3 linked regions of the Oryzias latipes genome follow. The protein of the gene in region 3 interacts with the protein of the main gene of each other region in a biochemical or structural test. Links are inferred from orthologs where the notes say so. Each region holds a gene or a part of one and is shown on either strand. Other genes may lie near its edges. The genes, in order: psmc5, nr2f1 and sp1.

The links.
Region 1: the proteins of sp1 (region 3) and psmc5 form a complex in vitro, tested with the Homo sapiens proteins (2 studies listed by BioGRID). The link is inferred for Oryzias latipes from reciprocal best matches to the Homo sapiens genes SP1 and PSMC5.
Region 2: the proteins of sp1 (region 3) and nr2f1 form a complex in vitro, tested with the Homo sapiens proteins (2 studies listed by BioGRID). The link is inferred for Oryzias latipes from reciprocal best matches to the Homo sapiens genes SP1 and NR2F1.

What each region holds. Positions count from the first base shown.
Region 1 is NC_019877.2:6,904,921-6,907,627, forward strand, and holds the end of psmc5 (26S proteasome regulatory subunit 8), read right to left. Parts: intron 1,320-2,707; coding exon 1,221-1,319; intron 1,144-1,220; coding exon 1,033-1,143; intron 953-1,032; coding exon 866-952; intron 786-865; coding exon 732-785; 3' UTR 658-731; downstream 1-657. Other genes in the region: MAGUK p55 subfamily member 3, read left to right, coding at 246-425.
Region 2 is NC_019867.2:15,617,115-15,620,871, reverse strand, and holds the start of nr2f1 (COUP transcription factor 1), read right to left. Parts: upstream 2,438-3,757; 5' UTR 1,488-2,437; coding exon 1,055-1,487; intron 1-1,054. UniProt on the Homo sapiens protein: Coup (chicken ovalbumin upstream promoter) transcription factor binds to the ovalbumin promoter and, in conjunction with another protein (S300-II) stimulates initiation of transcription. Binds to both direct repeats and palindromes of the 5'-AGGTCA-3' motif.
Region 3 is NC_019863.2:10,447,793-10,451,549, forward strand, and holds the start of sp1 (transcription factor Sp1), read right to left. Parts: upstream 2,475-3,757; 5' UTR 2,378-2,474; coding exon 2,371-2,377; intron 1,772-2,370; coding exon 1,698-1,771; intron 1-1,697. UniProt on the Homo sapiens protein: Transcription factor that can activate or repress transcription in response to physiological and pathological stimuli.

The sequences.
Region 1 (2,707 bases), on a different chromosome or scaffold from region 3:
TGGTGTCTTATCTTGTGTGTGGGATCAACAGACCCAACAATTTCCTTCAGGATAATTAAAGTATATCTTTTAAAATGATAGCTCATAAAAATAAGGGACAATCTTCTTGTTTTTTTTTTTGAAGATTCTCAACATTAATTGACTGAGCAACATCTGATCAGGACACCCCTAGTATTATAACCAAAGATGTGGAAAAGTGCTTTCAGACAGTTGTCACCAGTGTCTGTCACGTCGTCTTTCATTAGGAGGAGGATCTTGTGGAAATGAGCCAGTCTGCGGAGCGGATGGAGGAGTGCTACGGTCACTGGGTGGACTATGTCTTGGTGAAAGAAGATCTAAGCAGTGCTGTGGCAGAACTCCAGAGAGCCCTGGAAAGAGCTCAGACGGACCCACAGTGGGTTCCTGTGAGCTGGGTGAGGCGATAGCAGCAGGAGGTTGAAAACCTCCGTTCCAGTAATTTTTTCACGTCATCAGCTGAGCGGTGCCATCATTCCAAAAGAGCGACCAAAACATGATCACAGCAGATACTGTGCCGGTGTCTATATGTAATGTAACGGCTCTGTGTTGTGTTAGAGGCCTGTGGATGTCAAGTGCCATACAATAAATACACATGCACATCTAAGTTTGACTACTTTTAAAGCCAATTCCTCAAACATATTAGGGGGGGAAAAAGTTTTTATTGACTTGTTACAAACCATAAACAAGGAAAATGTACATATGCAGCTGCAATCTTATTTCCACAGCTTCTTGATAGACATGTTCTTCTCACTGTCCTTCTGCATCACCTGGTTCAGAGAACAGAGGAAAAGGTTCATGAGTTCAGAAAACAGCCTTGATTTTTACACCTGACAACTGCGATACTAACCTTTGCCACGGCCATCTCAAAATCCTCCTGAGTGACATGAACTCTGCGCTCTCTCAGAGCGTACATTCCAGCCTCTGTGCAAACTCCCTACAGCACACAAATTCAAAGTTTAATGAAGCAGATCTGTGAAATACTGTAAAGGAAAGGGGAAAAAAAAACCTTCATACCTTGACCTCAGCCCCAGAAGCTCCAGGCATCAACTCTGCAATCTTCCTTAAATTAATGCCGCGTGTCAGATTCATCTTCCTCGAGTGAATCTTCAGGATGTCCAGACGGGCCTGGTGGAGCAGAGGGTTTCAATGTGGTCATTAAGCTTTGAACCAGCAAGTGTGACGCAGCGACAGCAGCTGGTTACCTCTTCATTGGGAGGGGGAAACTCAATCTTCCTGTCAATCCTTCCTGGCCGGAGCAAAGCCGAGTCCAGAATGTCGATCCGGTTGGTGGCCATGATGACCTGCAGACGAGAAGAACAAATTCCAGTGAAGTACAAATCTTCTCAATTTAAAAGGTTTCAGCAGCATTTACTGGTGTAAATGACGCATTTCACTTTACTAAATCAGGAAAAAAATACCGTCCAGCACTAGAATTATACAATGACCTTATTAAGGAAAACTAAACTCTGTAAATTAAAGTGTAAATGTTTATTACCATCTTTTGGTGAGCCTTTTACAATAAATGTTTTCCCCTAACAATATAACTTAAGAGATTTTTAAATGAAGTTGTACCAGTTTATTAAAAAAAACCAAATAAAATAAATTGTTTATTCATTTTATTATATTTTTAGGATATTTGTTACATGAATGTTTTTAAAGCTACGTTTGCAAATATTACTGTGCAAACACAGTGAAACCTTTAAACATCAGTAAACCAAACACCAGGTATTCCAGGAAGCATGTTTAAACTAGCCTGACTTTAAGCCTGAACTCTGGCTGAAATCCGCCTGAACTCGCTAACTCGGGGTATGTCGGTTCCAAAAGACCGGATATGACTTGGCGTAATTACGCTTGACTTGGTGACCCTGGCTTTATGCACGTGCTCGCCAAGTACATAAAGACATTCTCAATAGATCGCCGATTTCTGGAGTCACCATGGAAACGCGTGGAGAAAAAACAAAAAAAGGTATATACCAGTGAGACGGAGTCTGAGATTTTAATGACGGCGTATGAAGATTATACGTCCATCAAAAAAGTAATACGGCTGCATCAGCAAAAAGAGTTTCTGCTTGGAGAAAAATGACAAAGTAAACGCAAGAGTTTCTGATCTTGTTTCCATTTTCCTTGTGACGCATATATGTATATAACTTATCCAATTTTGCCAACTTAAATGAATTACTTCTATTGGTAACAAAAAATTGAGTTAAATTTATTCAACCTAATTTCTTACGTCCATAAAACTCAATAATTGTTTATACAACTCAAATTTATGTATTTATCTAACTAAATGTCATTACTCCGATTCAATTAATATTTTTCGATCTTAATTATATTTCTTGATCTCTCATATGTATGAGCCGGCAGATATGCTCATTTTTGTAACAACAAAAAGGACGGGGAAAAACTGCACAGAGTGCAGAATTTCGTTAAAGAATTTTCCGTCATTGTTATCACAGCAGTAAACGGTAGGGGTGCTATTTAAACTCATCATCCTCTCCTTCACTCTCACTCATGGTGCAGAGACGCAAGCATAGTAGGACAAAATGACTCGGTAAAACAGCTAAACAACTAAACACATTTGGTCAAAAAGCCACACTTAAACCCAAATCCGTCCAGACAGGCAAAGGGAATGGTATCCCATAATCCCTTGCAGTGCAGATCTAACAGCAGCACCAAAGTTACACCTACT
Region 2 (3,757 bases), on a different chromosome or scaffold from region 3:
TCTGAGAGCAAAACAGCTTTCATCTAACAAATTCCTCATCATCCATATTACAATAGGTCAGCAGTCGAGCTTGTGTTCCTGCTCTAAATTTACGCGCAATTGTGCTTATTAGAATTATTACAAACTGTGTCCATAAATGCCACAAATGCGATTGATAATTGGCATTAAATGCAGCCACAAATGCACATTTTGTTCAGATCAAAAGGTCAGCTGCGAATCAAAGCAATCCAATCCGCGTTTTTTTTGTCCTTTTTGGATTCAAAAAGAAAATATGAAGGTGATTCAGCGCATATTATACGCGGGATTATAGTGTTCTCTGCAAATAATAGACTTAACTGAGGGATGTCTGCATCAATTGGAATCAAACACTTGACGTGGCTATGAAAGTTGTACGGCCTGTTAATGCAGCAGTGAGCACAACAATGAGCCATGGGCAAGTTCAGCGGCAGGATTCGGTGTGTCTGAGCAGGAGGAGACGTGGATTTGGCGAATGGCCGTTTTCCACGATGACGCAGCCAGGATCCAAATCCTGCTGTACATTTAGAAATGTGTAAGCCTGTGCTTAAGGGACTGCTAGGGATGGGACCATTAGCCTCTCTCTCTCCCTCTCTTTCTCTCTCTCTCACACACACACACACACACACACACACACACACACACACACACACACACACACACAACTACACGCACACAAGCCCACCTCTTACAAACACTCACGCGCACACACACTCTCCGACATGTTCACATGTAAGGATAATTCACGATTCTGCGCCATAACCTGCATATCAAACAGGCTAAACTAGAACATTTAAAAACAAAGGTCAGCTGGACGAGACGCTTTGTTCAGACGGCCTGCCTCCATGAGCATCACTGCTGCTGCTGCACACTATACCCCCCCCCCCTCCACTACCACCAAAAATAAAATAAAAAGCCTTCATGTAAACATGGATCAAAAAGGAGTCTGCAGTGCACGCCCGGCTAGAGAGCGCCTCTGACCTTAATGCAACATGGCAGCCCTGCGTGTCTGCACTAAAGAGTAAGCTTAAATATTCACCTTCCCGCCGCATTCCCACTTTTAAACACTTCTTCAGCCGGCAGTATTGGCACTGATTTCGGTGGTGCTGGTCAATGGGACAGTTCCTATTGGCACGACATGAGTAGGTTAAGTTCCTCCGTACACTCCTCTTGAAGAAACTTTTGCATCCCTCGCAGGTGAACTGGCCGTAGTGTTTGCCGCTCGATTTGTCTCCGCAAACCACACATTCAATATGCTGCTGACTTTGTCCAGAATTCTGACTCCCCTTGTCCCCGGCGGTCCCCGGCGTGGACGGGGGTCCCGGCTGGCTGGGGGTCTGCGGAGTGTGCGGCGCCGCCGACGCCGCTTGCTGCTGCTCCCTCGCCGGCTGCGCTGCTGGGTTGGGGCCGTTCGGAGGTCCTCCGGCCACGTCTTCCTGCGGATCTCGCCAGACGCTAACTACCATTGCCATATCTCGGCCACGGAAAGTGCTATAAAGCGAAATGGTCGCTGATGTAGATATAGCGCAGAGGGGAGAAAAAAAAAGAGATCTCAAAAGACGGGGCAGTGCAAAGTCAAATCGGTGCACGCAATCTCATATGGGGTTAAAAAAAACGGCGATCAATACATTCAAAAGCAGGAGGGCGACTGGAGAGGCACCCGATCAGGATTTGCAAGTGTCGGGAGGCCAGTTCCAAGGTAAATTGCAGTCAGCCATTCAGGAATCCCTAATCTTGTAGGAAAACCAGAGTCCAGACGTAACAAATTGCAGTTAGATGCTGAATAGCCACAGAGGAAAGGCAGGATTCACGTAGACGCAGGAACAAGTACAAAAAAGAAGAAGAAGAAAAAAAAGAAGAAAAAAAAAGAAAACCTTGTTGGAAAGAAATGCGATCCAAAGTGCAGCGGAGATAAATTCCTTTCTCCTCTTCCTCCTCTTGCTCCTTTACACTCCCGTCTTCGTCGCGCAGGAGGGCAGGAAAAAACTGAAGAGCTGGATTTTTTTTTACATCTATATATTCTTAAATAAGGCTCGTCATCTCGCCCAGCAGCGGAAGAAAATCGCGTCGCCGAAAGAAGTGCCCATGTATAGTTTCACTCCTCTCCAGCAGGAGGAATGGATACGAAGAAGAAAATGTAAAAAAAGAAGAGCAAAAACACCAAATACTAATAGAATATGCAAGACGAAGGAGAGACCCAAAAAATGAATGCGCTTAAACGGGAGGACCAGCAGAGCAATGTTTCCGAAACGGGGGATCTGCGCGAATGTCTGTATATAGTGAACTTTGACACTACTATTGAAACTGACACGTTTCTATGGAGATCGCTGCGCCTTATATGGTGCTCATGTCAAGGAGCCAAGAGAGGGGCTGCTGGAGACTGATAATCAAAGGCGACTGACTGGCCAGAGCCCTGCATAGAGGAGGAGGAGAGGAGGAGAGGGGGGACAGAGGGAGAGAGAAAATGGGAGGCTGAGGTTATAGCCAAGCCCTCTCTGTTTCTCTATTGGTTAGAATCCCCCTCCGCTTATCCACTGCAAAAAGTGACCATCTCAGAAGTCATCCAGTCTCGTGTTCGGATGTGAAAATGTGATTTTATTCGTAAAATACAGCAGGAACCGTGCATCTGGGTTTGAAATACACCTCCTTGTGTTTACAGTTGGAGAATGTTTTTTACGCCAATATATCGGAGTCCAGAGATGGGGGGGTGGGGGGATTTCTGTTGGAAATACATAGGCTGCGTAAAGGCGCATGATGGATCGACTGGTGTCGGGATCCAGGAAAGGCATTACGCGTCGAAATGGAAGCTTGTGTCCGCCTTGTGATACCAAGCCTCGGCGCTGCACTGAGCGCCGTTTGAGGCGTGGATATTTTTTACAGCGCTGCCATCTACGGCTGGAGGGGCTGGGGGGAATGGAGAGAGGGAGGGAAGGGAAGGGGGGCGGCGGTGTGAGTGTGTGTGTGTGTATGGGGGGTGCTCTGACAGGCGCAATTTACATTGAGCTCGCCCCGCGCTGCTATTTACTTTGAAACCTGATTAGTATGGGCCGTCTATTGTCACCAAAAAGAGGAAGAAACCCTGGATAGAATAGCGAAAAAAGAAGAAAAAAGCGGGGTAAAGGCAAGAGAGGACAAAGCTTTTACGCTTGACAAATAAACGAAAAGCAGCGAAACACCACTCTGCCTCAGATATTGCCCAAAGTTTCGGACCAGTCTGTGTGGAACTGTTGTCTTTATTTTAGGAATAAGTGACATCTTCTTTTTGGTTCAAATTGATTTCTTCTGTTCACACGCTGTTTTGTCCTTGGCGTGCGCATTGCGGTACACACCGCCGTCTGTGAATGGCACAGTTCTGCTCATTAAAACTTACCATTTAGTTTAGATTTAACATAACATAAAGAAAAAAAATATCACAGGAAAAAATAATGCACATTTGTACTGTACAAACGGCGGGTCTTGCAAATGAGCCGAACATCTCTAACAAGATAAGCTGTTTTGGATTATTTCTAAAGTCCTATAGACTGCAGACGGTGGCACGTTGTGTCCTAATATTGACAGTAATTCAAAATGAAATGAAGTTACGGGGGATTTGCATGGGGATTCCGCCTTTTTGTATCAGGGTTTCTGCAAGCTGACTATACCTCTCCTACTCAAAAATGTCTGGATCGCGCTGCCATCTAGCGTACAATGTTCAATTACAACTTCATATGCAAGTTTTCCGACATGCATTTTTAAAAGCTTA
Region 3 (3,757 bases):
AGGCCACTGACTGTTTAATGTCAGACAAGGCTGAGGTAAAAGTCCACATTTTTTTAAGTTTTCAGTTTCCCTTAACTTTTGATTGTAAAGTTTATTTTCATTCTCTGTAAAATATCTGCAGAGGATTGAAATTTTATTTGTAAACTAGAATCATTCAAATGTGACAAATTTCCCCTAAACTCATAAATGTTAAAGTGGAAGCTAAAAAATTGGCACCAACTTCAGTCTTGTCCAACTTTTAAAGTGCAACAGATTAAAAAATAAAATAACATTACTTAAACACGTATTAAAAGATGAAAAAAAAGATTATTATCATGGTGTTTGGGAACTACTGTAGATAAATCCGTATTTTGAGTACAGACTACTGGTTTTTGTCTGTTAAATACAACTTTCTTTTTCTCTGAAGTCACTGGGTCTTTTTTTCTGCCAAAAAAAGACAAAAAAACATCTTTTAAATACATTTTTTGTTGTTGTTAACTTTGCTGTCTTGGGGGTTTCAACTTAGCGGTCTATGCTACTGGTTTAAGAAAGTAATAGATGGTTTGTCGACAAGTAACAGAGTGACTTGACATGCGTCAAAAACGAGTCGGATCAGTTGAGGAGAATTCTGTTTTTAAAGATAGGATAAGATATGCCTTTATTGTCATTGTCCATTTGGACAATGAAATTACAGCAGTCACGATTACAGTGCAAAAAACAAATCTAACAAAGTATAATGTAAAAATGTCAATATGCACAGAGTGTACCAAGAATGTGTGCAAATATGCAAAATAAGAAATGTGCAAAAATAAAAATGTATGCAATTATGTGCAGAGTGATATGTACAGATTTAAACATGTCAGATGTGCAAAACAGCATGGAGCTATGGAAGTGTTGACAATTTTACACGGAATAAATACAGTTTCTTTCAAAATCAGATTATAAATAAAACAAAAACAAAAATGTAGGTCATAGTTTCTTTCTCTATGTGCCGGTACCAACTATCCCACGGACTGGTACCGGTCTGCGTCCTGGGGTCAGGGGCCACTGATTTAAATGATTGCTATTAAAAAAGTGTGATATTTACAGCTCTTGTGTAATCTTGAAAAATTCACAATGGCAAACCAAAAAAAAAAGGTCAAAAATATTTCAGTAGGGATTTCAAATGATTGTATAATATGTTAAAAAAAATAATCTTGACAGGACTTTAGGTCTAACAAAAGAAAACGATGTAAACATATTTTATGCTAAACAAACACCAATGTAAATATGGATTATTGAATTAAATAGGTGGATTTGCTCTGTGTTCATGGCAGGATTTAGGGAGTGGGCTTCAGATGGAGGTGGGGGTTGAGGTGGGGTATGGGAGGGACCACAGTTGAGAGGAGTAGTGGCGGGCTCGGCTTCCCCCTCCTCCCAAGCCCACCCCTCTCCCTCCCACACTTTATGTTGCCCTATAAACCAGCGCACCACACTGGCCACCCCCTCAAAGGCATGCCAAATGGGCCGAACAAAACGCACTTGTAGTGCCGGGGGTTGACGGGAACACCCAGTCTGGGAGATTTTTACCTGCCCAGTCCCCACCCCGGTGACATGTGCTCTGGGGAGAAATAAACAACCGGTCCCGAATAACGCCTTCGAGCTAATTCAACAAGTAGCGAAAACAAACCAGGCCAAGACTGACTAAAATCAACAGTCCGAGTGAAGGATAAACCTACTTGTGAGTTAGTGTTCCGCTTCTGAGAGAATCCTCCGCCACTCTCCACTGCGGCCATTTCACCTTGTTGCTGATCTGCGGAAGAAGAGTTGCAAGATTCCCAACTTCAACAAACAGCAAAACACGAGTTTCAGACAATGCGACTCTTTAACACAAGTTTAAACCTCAGACGGGACAAAAATAAAACGTCTTATATATATAAAACTCTAAGTCTGTTTTGTCTTTTTGTAGCGGCTTTTCCAAGAAAAGCAAATGTATAAATGGCAAAGTACTCACGGGGCAAGCTAGCTCAATAGCTAAGCTAACATCAACTAATGGCAAGTGATGTTCTAAGAAATCGCTCTTGAATCTCTTTGAGACTTCAGTTAATCTCTAAAATGTAACGGACTACATGGGCTAAGAATACAGATTGGTCCTGAAAGTACACAGATTTTAGTGTCACTTACGAACAACTTTTTGCCGTTTCGCTAAATGTTGTTAGCCAAGTTCCAACAAGTAGCGTTAACGTCGTTAGGTTTGCTGGCCACTTTTTGACTGCATGTTTATGGCAACTCGATATATAATACTGTGCGTTTACCGCTGCTTATTTGTTTTAAAAAATGTTCTTACTACAATAAAAACTCTGTCAAGCTAAAGATACATAACATACCACTGAGTTTTAAAACTTCACTTACTGCTCATATTTGAAGACGGGAGGAGTTTCTGTGCTCTTTTTCTGCTTAACAACTTTTCACAACTTCACACAAACTTGATAGCCCCTTCCCTTTGAAGGAAAGCACAGAGGTGCGTTTAATTTAGGTACCTTTGTAGCCCGCCATCTTTGTTCTATGTAGTCATAGAAAGAGAACACATTTTTAAAAGTAGGTGCGTTTTAACTATATTAATATATTTGTTTTAAAAACTAAATACACATTGAAAATAGAGCCCCTTAAACCGAGATTTTCTTAAAAGTTAAACGAGTAAAGGTAATTTATAGTTGCATCCATTAACATGTAAAATATAAGACAATTTACTGTAGCTAGGTTTATTTTTCCTGCAAGAAAAAAAATGTTTAGAAAAGTTACTAAGTGAGACTATTTTAAATCAAAATTTTATTTAAAAAATGTATAAATTGATTATCTAGTGTTACTGTCATTCCATTAACGTAGAAAACAAGCGCACCCCCTAGAAAAGCGCCTTGTGAAAGATTACTTCAATCTACCAATCAAACCGTATGTCTCTGCCTCTTACCGTCAGCCAACCAATGGAATTTGAGAAAAGGTGGGTGATATAGGGCGGGTTCATCCACGTTAGGCTGCGCTCCTTAGTCTAATTGACATTGGTTATGTTTTCCGCGTTTCTAAAATGTTGACATATATACGCACGGATTTCTTTGTATAATTCCGAAGAAGGTCTTATGTTTAAACTTAGAAATCGTGCTTAGATTTGTGTCTTGAATTAAAACCTGGAGGTGGGGAAAAAGGAGGACTGTCGATTTGAGTCTTGCCTCCGTGGCCGCTGGCCACTCCTTTTTGTGGCGGATGGGTTGGTAAACACTAGGGAGGAGGCGGGAGAAGGCAGCCAGGGTGGAGAAAAAAAACCTCCACCGTCCTCCAGACACCGACTACAGATGGCTGGGAGTGGAAAGCGCCTCTCGTAGGGGAGGGCTTTCATCGCTTAGTACGAAAGAGGGCTGTCAGTGAAGCAGCACATGTGTCCATGTAAACAGGCCAGAAGGTGGAGTCCATCCATTCTTAACTTTAGGCTTGGACCCACCCCTCAGTGTCACCACTACAACCAAAAGCCCCTGCTGTAGTAAACACATTTTTAGTATTGGCAAAGAAACAGCAAGAACTGATATAGCAGTTATAACGTAGGACAGACCTGTTGATAAATTTTAATAAAAGTAAACTTTGTCATGTTTAATTCAGGGGCGAAAAGGGCTATTTTAAAGATCCACTCTGATAAAAATCATGTTTTTGGTGTTTTTAACATGTTCTAGTGACATTTTTCCTTTGATGGAGGACATATGTGAAGAAAATTATTGTAAAACTGCATTTTTTGAGTATTTCTTTATTTAGA